Linked DNA regions of Sus scrofa. The protein of the gene in region 1 binds, or shares a complex with, the protein of each later gene. Links are inferred from orthologs where the notes say so. Each region holds a gene or a part of one and is shown on either strand. Other genes may lie near its edges.

Evidence for each region.
Region 2: the proteins of KLHL3 (region 1) and WNK3 are in contact, whole or in part, in a crystal structure (PDB 5NKP), measured with the Homo sapiens proteins. The link is inferred for Sus scrofa from reciprocal best matches to the Homo sapiens genes KLHL3 and WNK3. Residues at the interface, in NP_059111.2 of Homo sapiens: Lys312, Arg339, Phe355, Gly357, Arg360, Thr386, Phe402, Gly404, Ser405, Gly407, Ser432, Ser433, Tyr449, Gly451, Arg454, Cys456, Ser481, His498, Arg528, Tyr577; in NP_065973.2 of Homo sapiens: Glu537, Cys538, Glu539, Glu540, Thr541, Glu542, Val543, Asp544, Gln545, His546.

The regions. Positions count from the first base shown.
Region 1 is NC_010444.4:139,738,584-139,745,679, forward strand, and holds the start of KLHL3 (kelch-like protein 3), read right to left. Parts: upstream 4,159-7,096; 5' UTR 4,117-4,158; coding exon 4,034-4,116; intron 1-4,033. UniProt on the Homo sapiens protein: Substrate-specific adapter of a BCR (BTB-CUL3-RBX1) E3 ubiquitin ligase complex that acts as a regulator of ion transport in the distal nephron.
Region 2 is NC_010461.5:46,927,230-46,933,726, forward strand, and holds part of WNK3 (serine/threonine-protein kinase WNK3), read right to left. Parts: intron 3,957-6,497; coding exon 3,754-3,956; intron 1-3,753.

The DNA.
Region 1 (7,096 bases):
CCACCGTTCACTCTAACTCTAAGACAATGACGCTGGTTTTCTTTACCTTCCTCTAGTGGCCCTCTGTTGATGCTATCACCCAGCCACGCAAACTGGCTCCAAGAAAGGAGCTGCTATGGTTAAGAGAAAGTTCTGGAGATGCGAGAGTCCCTCTAAATCTCACACTGGGATTTGTAACTATTAGAACATTCTGGTGCAATCAGAGTGCCAGACCACAGCTTGGCTGACCAAAGCAGACACCTTTTCTGGCTTCCTTTCCACTTTCAGTTCAGCAGGAAAATGTAAGCCACAGACCCCTGAACTTTGGGACTCTTTGCATTCCGGGTGCAAAGAAGGTAGCTGATCACAGGACAAGAAAGATCGAAGACGAAAATCTCAAAACAGAGAATGTTATCAAGGAGGGGGAGCACCCAATAAAGATAGAAAACCTTTATATTAAAAACCCCACAAGTATAATTTCTTTTGTAGTTAGGCATCCTTCCCGACTCCAGGCCAGACAGATATAAATTTGTACTTTATACTTAAAGTTTAACAGTTTTGCTTTTGATATTTAAGTTTTATCTGATATTGATTTTTATGTCACTATATGAAACATGGATATTATTTCTCCCATAAGTTCCACTTAGTGAATACTTCTTTTTCCCACTTACCTGTTATGCCACCTTTAGTCATACATCAAAGTTCCAAATATAAAGGGCACTATTTCTGGACTTCCTACTTACTCCATTTAGTCAGGTTATCCAACTCTCTACCAATACCACACCATTTCTACAGCTTCATAATAAGGTCTAAGTCTGGTAGGGCACATCCCCAATCCTATTACCATGCTTCAGATGTGTCTTGGCTATTCCAGTTTTTTCATCTGTCATATAAATTTTAGTAGTAACTTCCAAGCTCCATGAGGACTCTGATAGGCTTCTGATAGAAATTACTTTGAATTTATAGAGCAATTTGGATAGAACTGGCATCTTTCTATTGTCTTCTAATCCATGAACATGGAATATCTCTCCACTTATTTAGATCTTCTTTAATGTCATTCAAACTTTTATATTTTTATGTATGAAGATCTTATATATATTTGAGTAAATTTATTCTTAAGTACTGAACAGTTTTTGTTTCTATTTTATTATAGCAAAGATTCTGAAGATTCAGCTAGGTGTTCTACATAAGCAGTCACATTCCCTGCATATACGGCCAAGAGTCCTTTTTTCTCCTTTCCAATTCTTAGGGTTCTAATTTCTTTTTTGACAGAAATTTTGCACTGGCTAGGATGGCCACACAACTGTGAATATAAAGTCACTAATGAATATTTTGTCATCTTCCTGATTTTAAAAAATACGTTTCTAGTGTTCCCCATTGTGCATGTTTGTTTTAGAATTTTGTCGATGCCCTTTATCAAATTAAGAAAATTCCATTGTATTTTTTATCAAAAAGTTACATTGAATTTTCTCAAATGTTTTTGTGAATCTATTGAGATGACCATATGGATTTTTTCCTTAAAGCTTTTAATGTTGTATACAACACATATATTTTCTAATACTAAACTCTAAATGCATTCCTGGAGTAAATGTAGAAACTGTAAAACACGGCACAAATATTCATTATAAATGTTGTTTTCAAATTGTAGAGAGACTTAAAAAAGAGAAAACATAATCTGGTATCAATCAGGGAACCACTGAAGGGTTTTGACAGGGAACTGATAAGATTAGAGCTCATAAAAGTCCAGTGGACATTACTAGTTGCATTTTCCATGCAGAGACTAGATGTAGACCAAATAAAGCCATTTTGGAAGCAGTGACAACAATCTCCACTGTGACTATTAACTGGGAGGTTTGCTCCTCTTTGTTGTGTTGGTCTTTGCACTTTCCAGCCTTCCGGATGGCCCAATAATGATGCATCTCTGTTAATACAGAGTTGTGTTTACCAAAAGACCTCAAACATAGATTGCCTATTATCAGGATTAAAGTTCAACAAATGCAATTCACACGAAAGCCTCCCTCAAAGAGTGACTGGCTGATGACCACAGAGCTGGCAAGAAAAAGGATATATGGTTGCGTCATTCCATCCAAAGTCCTTTCCACCCTTGATGAAGTGGCAAGGCTTGATAGGAGAAGGAACCCAAGGTCTCTTTGCTTCCCCTGCTCTGCCCCTCTGGGAAAATAATGAGAAGTCTGAAGGAGGTTCTGGATCCCTGGTTTCTGAAAAGTAGAAGTTTCTTTGGCAACTTGTTGACCTTCCACAGAGCAGGAAGCTAAGGAAAAAGAGGGTCTGAGGCCTCAAGGAAATTAAGAACCTTGCACAAGATCACACAGATAATACGTGGCAGAGACAGCATCTGAGCTCAAGTGCCCTTAAAACCCAAGCAGCCCAAGCTATTTCCACTACAGCTTACACCCTGCAGCAGTGAAGTGTACACATGTGTACCCGCACACACACACCCCAGCCTAGAATCACAGGTTCAGGCAGAGTTGCCAGATTCCACCTTTCTCTCCCTAAACCTTTCTCCCCGCACCGACACTAGATCTTAACTAGTTAGTGTCCAACACATAGCTCACTCCCACCCAATCAAAGCCCAATCCCTAATATATTTTGCTCTTGATCCCAGGCAAAACTGGTGCGTCCACCTCCCCACCTGCAAAACACAAACCACACTGAGGTATATTCCCAATCTCTGTCCAACCTCCCCAGATCCAGCTAAAACTTACCTCTCCTGCCCCCTTGTTGACTCTCTCTCTCGTTCACTCGCTTACACACACACACACACACACACACACACACACACACACACACCTCTAGGCAGACAGCCACAACATGTTTTCTGCTGAAAAGTGTTTATTAATAAATGCTCTTACGTGAAGCACAAAATAGTTGATTTCTCCAGGCACAAAGATGCTCCAGCTAAGCACCCCCTCCCTGGCTCCAAGCCCACTCTACTAAAGCCACACCAAGAACTCTCACTCAGCCCAGCTGAGGGGATGTGGCCTTCAAAGTGTCATGATCTGGCAAGCAGTATGAAACCAACCAAATGGTCTCCAAAGTCAACATTAATTTACACATGCCCTTCTCCCCACAGCTGAAGCTCTGGCGGCCGACCAGTGGAGCCTTCATCAGTGCTCAGAGGACCAGAGTTTCAGTAACATTCTAGTAGAACCAGATTTAAGATTCAAATGGGTCACCAACAACAGAGATGGCAAGAAAGTACAGGCCAGTCAGGATCCCTGTTCTTTCCTATAGCATTAGACAAAAACAGTCATCCATACTGGATGGCTATGTAAAATGTCCTTTCAAAGGACTCTGTAGTGAAAAAGCTGAAAGAGCATCAGTCTATGTGATAAAGTCATGATTCTTGCCCAGAAGTCAAAGCCATCCTTGACCTGGACTGAATCTAAATATTTACTAAGTACTTATTATGCCCTGAGCAGATGAACCATCCACTGCAAATAGATTTCCCCTCTTTTCCCCTGTACCATAATCTAAATATCTGTTCTTCCAGGACCAGGTAAGTTATCCCTCTTCTATGAAGCCCTTTGAATACTTCAGTCCTAAGTGATCCCTGCCTTCCCTAACTGCTATAGTACTTCTGGCTTATAACTCAACCAGCACATAGAACACTGACCTGCGTTTGGTTACCTTTTCACAGCACCTATTTCACCACACAGCCCCTTCATGCTAGATTCGACATTCCTGGTGAGGAAAAGCTACACGTCTGAGGACTCTCATACAGCTGCCCAGCATAGGGCAATACCCCAGTTTCTTCACTACATATTTGTTATCAATCAATCGGACCTGAAAACCCTCCACTTGTCCTTACATGTGATAGACAGTAGAGCAGAGTATGATGTTCTCCCCCAACCAGCACCCTCAACCCCAATGATTAAAAAAAAAAAATGAAAGAAGGGTTGGTCTTCAGTGTTAAACTAAAAATCAATACACATAAAATGTTAATTATGTAAAAACTGTAAATTAAAACATGTAAACTCTAAACAGCAGGCCCTCTTTCATGGCACACCACTTCCCACAGCTTTTCTCCTACCCTCTCCTGTCTCCAAAGTCCAGATCCAGATTCCCAGTGTCTGTCTGAACTCCACCACTTGGACTTTTCACGGAAACTGACATGCAACTGATGCTCTCCCACCCTCCCTAAAGCCTATCCCAGAGGCATAACCAACCACCCACTCACCTATCCTAGGCAGAAACTGGGATCTCACCCTTCTCTCTCACCTCACATATGACCACAAGTCCTATCCGTCCCAGGGCCTCCAGTATCTCTCCACCCCTTCTCCTTCCCATGGCCACTGCTACACGACCTCAGTCCAGGCGTCGTCATCTCTTACCTGGATTTCTACACTACCTGCCTTGCAGGTTCCAGAATGACCTTTACAGACTGTCACTGTGCGCGTGGAAACATTCTCTGGGGAACCTCTCACTGGTTCCTCAACTGCATTCAGACTAAATCTCAGAGACCTGTCCTGGCCCTTCATAATCTCATCACTGTCCTGAAGAGTGCTCATTACTGAAGAGCTTAGATACAAATGCCTGCATACTCCAGGCTCTTGTGTCCTATCCCCAGCTGCTGCCCCATGTCTAGCTCCTTCCTACCAGCCCTGCAGACCTCTTGCTGAAGATCTGTCTTCCCTATGGTCCTCCACGACCCTGGATTAACTTCCCTCCTCCGTGCTTCCCTTTGTATCACACTGTAATTACCACTGACTTCTCTGTCTTCCCCACAGAGTGTGTGCTGGTAAATGTTTAACGGTTGGTTGCAAAAAAGGGAGTCCTGATTTGTAACACTTCGCAATTTCCTTTGTGTAAATACTGCCACCACAGCAGACTCTGAGCCACTAACGTGATGTCACCGAACACTCAGAGTTGGGAGGAAATGTGTATTATATCACCAGCAAGCATTTCCACGACACAGGTACAACAGACATAATCTAAAGGGCATAGACATCAGTAAAATAACTAGGAATTGATGAGTTTTGAGTTTTTATTACATTTGTTTTTAATGTAATTTATTAGTAAGTTACTTAATTTTATTTTTAATAAGGACTATACTTAATAACTGACTCACAAATTCCTAAAAATTTAACAAGCAGCTCTTGCACGTGGGTGAGTGCTGGCTCCATCCAGCACACCACTGCCTACCCTAGATTTTGAGCTCCATTAGAACCAGGATGGTGTCTTACTTCCCTCTGTATTCTTAGCTTCTGGCACATGACGGGTGCTCAATAAATGATTCCTGAGTGAATGAATGGATGGATGAATGAGATATAACTAATGACTATTCCATCTCTCACTTCCCTCGTTAAAATAATTCTGGTTTTATCTCTCTCGACTTCCCCACAGGAGGTGTGTGTTGGGGGCAGGGGTGATCCTTAGCCCATCCAGTTCCCTGCACTGGTGACAGAGAATCAGGAAGACGTGGGGAGGAAGCAAAGAGAGCCAGAATCAGCTAGAGAAGAGGAAAGAAAGTAGGAAGGGTTGCTGCTTACTGTGTCAGTTCTCAGGCTTTTTCTATCACTCAGGAAAATCCAGGCATTGAATGGAAAGGAAAGGACAGTAGAAAGTTCGTTACCAAAATAGGAGACAGAAAAACCTCTGAACATCCAATTGTGCAGAAGTGCTTGTGAGATCTGCCAAATGACGAGTTCCGAGCATCCAGGGTGTGAGAGAGTGGGGAGGAAAGGAAAGGGGAGCCTGAGAAACACTGCTGACGGTTAAGAACTGCATCCCTGATAAAAGTCTTCAAGAGACGCAATAAAGTTCAGGCGGTGTGGGCCACACACACACAGAGCCCGAGCACACTGTGTTCAAGGTACAGACGAGATAGAATAAAAAGAGGCAAAGTCCCCTAAAGAGGGTAACACAACTCTGAATCAGAGTAAGACTATGCCAAAGGCATTAAAATCCCTCAGCAAAGAAAGTGCCCCTTAGGAGAATAAATTGAAAAATAAGAATCGGAGTTCCCATCATTGCACAGCAGAAACGAACCCGACCAGGAACCATGAGGTTGCAGGTTCGATCCCTGGCCTCGCTCAGTGGGTTAAGGATCCAGCGTTGCTGTGAGCTGTGGTGTAGGCCGGCAGCTACAGCTCCAATTGGACCCCTAGCGGAGAGTGCGGCCCTAAAAAGCAAAAAAAAAAAAAAAAAGAAAGAAAAAAAAGAAAAAAGAAATAGAAAAAAGAAAAAGAAAGAAAAACAAGAATCAGACAGAGAAGACCCTTGGTCCTACTCATCCCACACTATCTATAAATGAAAATGATTTAATCATCAGTCATCTGGTTCAGCCTCAGGTCAGAGCCTGTTGTGGAACTTGAAGCCTATAAATACTCAAAGGCCTAACTTGGTACCACGCTCACAATGCAGCCTTTTAATCAAGCTGGCCTCTCTCATGGTTCTCCTTCAAGGAGGCATGAAAGTGGTGGCAGGCCCTCAGGAACATCGTGCCAGTAATACTTTTCACTGCAAATTAATAAAGTGACACTCAGAGATCCCATCGTGGTGCAGCAGAAACGAATCCAACTAGGAACCATGAGGTTGCATGTTGGATCCCTGGCCTTGCTCAGTGGGTTAAGGATCCAGCGTTGCCGTGAGCTGTGGTGTAGGTCGCAGATGTGGCTCGGATCCTGCATTGCTGTGGCTGTGGCTTAGGCCGGCAGCAGCAGCTCCAATTCAACCCCTAGCCTGGGAACCTCCATATGCCACTGGTGCGGCCCTGAAAAGACAAAAGACAAACAAATAAATAAAAATAAAAATAAAATGACACTCCAACTACTGTGCCTCAGGTTCTCATGAGCAGTTCCCAGCATGACTCCGCTTCTCTGAGTCTGGGCAGCACCAGGGCACTGACAAGAGAGGATTTCTCAACCGAAAGAGCGCAAGGCAAACTGCAGATCTCCCATGCTTCTCAATCCTAACGTGCAAAGCCAAAATGACCCAATTTATATTTCTGCATCTGGATTAATGAGGGAACTTTCACTTGAAGATACCCAGGCAGTGGGATTCAGGGTGTGGCGGTGCAGTCCTGTCAAGAAACACCCCCCTCCACACAGGCTGCTATTGAGCTCCAGGTCCTCCTCCTTCTTTCAGGGGTCCC
Region 2 (6,497 bases), on another chromosome or scaffold:
CCGACTAGGAACCATGAGGTTGCGGGTTCGATCCCTGGCCTTGCTCAGTGGGTTAACGATCCAGTGTTGCCGTGAGCTGTGGTGTAGGTCACAGATGCGGCTCGGATCCCGCGTTGCTGTGGCTCTGGCGTAGGCCGGTGGCTACAGCTCCGATTCAACCCCTAGCCTGGGAACCTCCATATGCCGCGGGAGCGGCCCAAGAAATAGCAACAACAACAACAACAACAACAAAAAAGACAAAAGACAAAAAAAAAAAAGGTGGTATTTTATCTTTTTTTTTTTTTTTTTTTTGGCCGCACCCTTAGCAGGTGGAAATTCCCAGGCCAGGGATTGAACCTGCGCCACAGCAAACAACACTAGATCCTTAACCTGCTGCACCACAAGGGAACTCCCTTTTAAATTTTTGTACTTTTCTGCATTGATTAAGTTCTATAACAAATATTTTTCATTTACAAACAATAATAATGTGATTTTTATTTTTTAAAAAGAATGAATTGGAGATGACTTGTTATATTTAATCTTCTCCTGGATATTTAAAAGGAACCTCAGATTCAAGTGACTAAAAACAAGCATATGATCTTTCGCCTACCAAAACACACACTGACTGCTTATAACACTGCCTGCTTATGTTCCCCATCGTGATGATTGGTTACTGGAATGACAGCCAGTTACACCAGCCAGAAACCTAGCCTTCACACATCCCCTCTGCCAAAACATTAATTCTATTACTAAATCTGGTCCATTTTTATCCCTTAAACATTTCTTGGGATCTATTCACTTCTCTTCATCTCAACTTCTCTCTCTCTCTTTCAAATGAAGTATAGTTGATTTATCAAGTTGTTCAACTTCTCTTTATTGAGACTACTGTGACTAGCTCTTAACAGGTTTACCATTATCTACCCTTATCTTCAATAATCTTTCTTCTTACTTTAAGCCAGAGTGACCTTTTCAAAAAGCAAATCTGATCATATCAACTTTGGGGCTTCAAGGACTATCCATCTCCCTTAAAATAAAGACAAAGTTCCTTATCATCATCACTTTTAAGACCCTACCTATCTCCTTAGTTAGATTCACTCTATAGCAACTCCTCTCTGCTTTCCTCATTTCGGGCTAGTGGACCTGCTTTCAGTCCTTTCACGGTGCCTTTCCCCATAAGGGGCTTCTGCATATGCCATTCTTTCTGTTTAGAATCATATTCCCGCCCCCTTTCACATAGTTAACACTTAACTCATCCTTCAGATCTCTGCTCAAACATCATCTTCTTAAGGAAGCTTTTCTTGACTTCCCCCCCCCCCTTTTTTTTTGCTTTTTAGGGCCACACCGGCAGCATATGGATATTCCCAGGCTAGGGAGTCTAATCAGAGCTACAGCTGCCAGCCTACACCACAACTCAGAGCAACGCCAGATCCTTAACCCACTGAGTGAGGCCAGAGATTGAACCTGCAACCTCATGGTTCCTAAACAGATTTGTTTCCCACTGTGCCACAATAGGAACTCCTTGACCTTACTGTATAGTATCCTATAATCTCTCATTTGTAGTCCTTATTACAGCTGCAATTTACATTTACTTATACAAGTCTGTTCACATCTAACTGTCCCACTAGAATATAAGTCCTATACAGAGAACATACTCAATTTTGCTAATCAAACACAGTACCTAACATAGGGCTTGGCACATAGTAAAGGACCTAGCACATAATTGTGACAAAACTTTCTAAGACTACAGAACATGCAAGAACATTAGATAGTGCAATGAGCTCTCCACACAAAGATATAATCAACTGAACCTAAAAATACAAAAATAGCATAAATAGGATACTACTTTGTGCTAGGCACTCCATAGACGTTACCTTATTTAATCCTCACAGCAATGCCACACAGGAAGGTATTATCCCTATTTTAAAGACATGAAAACTGAGGCACAAATGCCTTGTCTAAAGTCACACAACTAGTAAATGACTGAGTTGACACTGGAACCCAAGTCTATATAAAGACCTTTACCACTTTTTTTTTTTTTTTGTCTTTTTGCCTTTTCTAGGGCTGCTCCCAAGGCATATGGAGATTCCCAGGCTAGGGGTCGAATGGGAACTGTAGCCACCGGCCTACGCCAGAGCCACAGCAACGCAGGATCCGAGCCGCGTCTGCGACCTACACCACAGCTCATGGCAACGCCGGATCCTTAACCCACTGAGCAAGGCCAGGGATCGAACCCGCAACCTCATGGTTCCTAGTCGGATTCGTTAACCACTGCGCCATGACGGGAACTCCGACCTTTACCACTTTTATTCATACTCCATCTTCTATTCACTCTTCCTCCAAACATCCCTCATTATACTGCAATAAACCACCCTCCTATTTGTCAACAAAGGCCTCCATTCAAACAGTATTCAGAGGATCTCTCACTGGCAGCGCCAACGCATTTGTACTTTGAAATTTACCTCTAAAGGCTTCTAATTTTTACAATGGTGATACTATCTGTGTATAAATCGGTGCCAGGAATAATATAAATACACAGAGTCCTCAAGCAGATATACTACTTGCTAGTTTGGAAAATCTAGGCTTTTGAAAATTTTTATTCAATGTTAACACTGAATGTATTTTTAGACTTTCTACATGCAATGACTACACACACACACGTGTACACAAACATAACAGACACACACTCAGATATATCTCTTAGTTACATGGATTCAAATTCTAAGCCCTGACTCACATTTTAGTAAATTTACTCTTTTTTTTTTTTTTTTTGCCATATCCACAGCACGTGGAAATTCCCGGTTCAGGAATCAAACTTGTGCCACAGCTGCAACCCAAGCCACAACAGTGACAATACTGGATCTTTAACCTGCTGAGCCAGTAGGGAACTCCTAGATTTACTCATTTTGAAAACATGATTCTTACTTTAAAAATTCAAAAACAGAAAAGTACAAAGTAAAATTAAGGCCCAAATTCTACCATCCAGCATATTTTAATGGTTTTTCCTATTTCTATGCATATATTCATGTATATATATCTATGTAATGTGTATAATTTTACATAATTAGTATATATACTATTCTATGAGCCTGTATTCTTCCCACTACAGAATGCACTGTGGACATCTTTGTACATTCAACTGCATGTACACCTAAGACCATATACAATTAAGTAGATATTTCATCCATAAACTTAAGACATCTTCTATAAAGCTCTAGCTTAAAGACCTTTAAAGTTCTTTTTCATACTGAATACATAAGATTACTTATGGGCTCTGGGTATACTGATGTACAAGTAACATAAGATAGCTTTTCCTCAAAGTCCAAACTGTTCTTACACCACAAGATTGAATTAATCCTCACTCCCTTTGCTTTCTTTTTTGATAACTTGACGGTTTTTTTTTTTTTAAGGTATAATAGCATAAAACAAGGATCAGCAATCTATGGCCTGCCATCTCTTTTTGCAAACCAAGGTTTAGTGGAACAAAGCCACACCCACTTTTATGTATTGTCTATGGCTGTTTTGGAAGCGTTGAGTAGTTACAACCACATAGCTTGGAAATATTTACTAACTGGCCCCTTCCTAGAAAAAGTTTTCTGACCCTTGGCCTAAAAGATAGTTTTCTCAAAGACATAATGAATCAATACAAGGATAAATGTCTCTATGTTGTCAAGTCATACCACTCTCTCACAGTGACTATATCCACAGGCCTAAGTGAATCAATTTTTATTGTTTTAGTTTTCATAAATAAATAGGACCAGGTATAAAAAAACTTACTTCATATACTTTGTTCCAGTTGTCTGTCTCTAGTTTCTGTTGACTCTGTTTAATTTGGTTTAAACTTGGCTTAATAAGAGAATTTCCTACTGTTTCCTTTGTCCAGTCATCCACCAGTTTGTGTAAGTCATCTGTGAACATCCCTTTTTTACTAGCTGGAGATGGCTGGCATGATGCTGCACTACTTTCCACACACGGTGGATCTATAAGGAAAAAAACAGAAACCATGAAAATGAATTAAAATTGATAAATTAATACTCTTTTATGGCTAGTAATGCAGAACTACATATTGGGTACAGATAGGGTAACCAGACAGTCTAGTTTATCTGGGATAGCTCCGATTTAAAGCTGCTGTCCTGGTATAATTACTAACAGAATCCCTTTCACTCTCAAAAGTTCCTTCTTGTTTGGATGTCAAATTATATAGTCACCTTAGGTTAAATATAATAAATAGTATCTCAAAAATATTAGTATCAACTCTAAGCTTTTCATAAATTTCCTCAGATAAATACTTAGAAGAGTTTTAAAAAAATTATAGAAAGTTAAAAGTGGAAAGAACATCAGAAGTCTAATCCACATCACTTGTTTTATAATGGGGAAATGAGGCCCAGAGAAAGTAAACTGACACGCCTGAGTTCCTACAGTTACTTACCAGCAGGACCAGGCCTGGAGCTCTGAAGCCTAAATAAGAATGCTCTCTTTTCAATATACCATAGTGAGTTTCAACAAGCTTCAGAAAACTAAAATCTCATTTAATTTTTAACTGATATTTCTGTTTATTAATGATAAAAAGTACGTATTTCTAGAATAGCAAGAACAAGGAGGTAGATGGTTTGTGAGCTTCATTAGTTCTGGAGCACAAGATATCCAAATAGATGAAAAAAATCAATTACAGATGTCTCCATCAGTGAAAAGTTTCCTAATCTGAACACCACACTAAGTCTTTAAATTATTTAGAACTTATCACACATGCTTAATAAATCATTCTCATTGAAAAGACTCATAAGTTCCTCTCACTGATTTATAAATCAAAACTTACAGAGTGGGTCTAAAATGAATTTTAGGAAACAGTTGTGAAACTGTTGTGAAACAAGCAAAATAATATGGCCAGGGATTTAATTAAATAAGCATGTGAAAATTTCTTGTACAACTATTATGGTACCTTTTTTGGGGGCTGTAGTCAAGCATGCGAAGTTCCAGGTAAGGGATCAAACCCACACCACAGCAGTAACCTCAGCCACTGCAGTGACAACACCAGATATTTAAGTCACTGAACCACATGGGTTCTTCATTATGGTACTTTTTTTTTAATTGTGGAAAACCATGAAAAATGTAAAAGATAATGCAAGAAACCTCTATATTAACACTTTCAAAGCACTTTTCTATTCTTTGAAACTTATAACAGACTTGTGATATAGGTTCAGCAAGTATTCTATTTTTGTGATGGGGAGACTGGAATCTAGAAGGTAAACAACTGAGGTTATAGAACCCAGGTATTCTGATTATTGTACCAGCCAACCCATGCAATGAACTGGGAAAAGTAAATAAGAAAACTGCTTAATAAGGAGGAACATGATAATCTCAATGCTTATTTATACACAGTCTGTCGTTCTCTATGACTTCTGATCTAATGAAGGTTTAGATTGAAGGAGATTAAAAATTAAATGGAAATATACTAGTGAAAATTGCATAAGAAGAGTTTAATTAATTAAATGGGACATATTCTCATATACAAAAGAGTTTTATAAAAATAAATCTTACTGGGAGCTCCCATCATGGTGCAGTGGAAACGAATCCCACTAGGAACCATGAGGTTGTGGGTTCAATCCCTGGCCTCGCTCAGTGGGTTAAGGATCTGGCATTGCCATGAGCTGTGATGTATGTATGTCACAGATGTGGCTTGGATCCTGTGTTGCAGTGGCTGTGGTGTAGGCTGGCAGCTGTAGCTCTGATTGGACCCCTAGCCTGGGAACCTCCATATGCCGTGGGTGTGGCCCTAAAAAAAAAAGCAAATAAATAAATAAATTTTACTGATTTAGGGTTACCACGTTATATCAAAATGAGATACCAATCTTGTTGGAATTCCTACTTTTCTAAGACTTAAAACCCCAGGACGTACGATCAGTCTATAATAAAAGTATCATTTTTTTCCTGTTATCCCTCTTGCACATTCATCTAATTTTCTTCCAACTTCAGTGAGCAAACACTGTTGAGGAAGACTTTGGAGTTGAAGTGTTTATAGATTGTGTTCTTACTCTGTTCATACTTGCTGTATGAATAAAAAGGAGATGAGAGCCAGAAATATATACATATTAGGGCCAGCATTTCTGCCCACCCAGCTAATCTTAGAGTGTTTTTGTGCTCATTTCCCTTTAGTTTCCTAAAAAAAAAAAAAAAAAAAAAAAAAAAAAGCTTGTTAACATAGAGCTAAGTTTGAATGTCATTCATTTAAGAACACTTCTGCACTATGGGAAACCCAATGTCAGGATTTTTTCTTGTATACAAATCTAGTGGAACAAGTGATCTTGAGCCCTTAACTGAAATCCAATGATTGGCTACTGCACTAGTGGCACAATAGCCAACAAGTGGAGGAAGAAATAATGAACAAACCAAAACAAGTATTTATTTATTTGGGGTTTTTTATTGAGGTAACACTGATCTATAACATTATGTTTGATCTGTACAACACTGTATTTCTATTTCACCCTACAGCATGCCCACCACATCACCATACAGTTGATCCC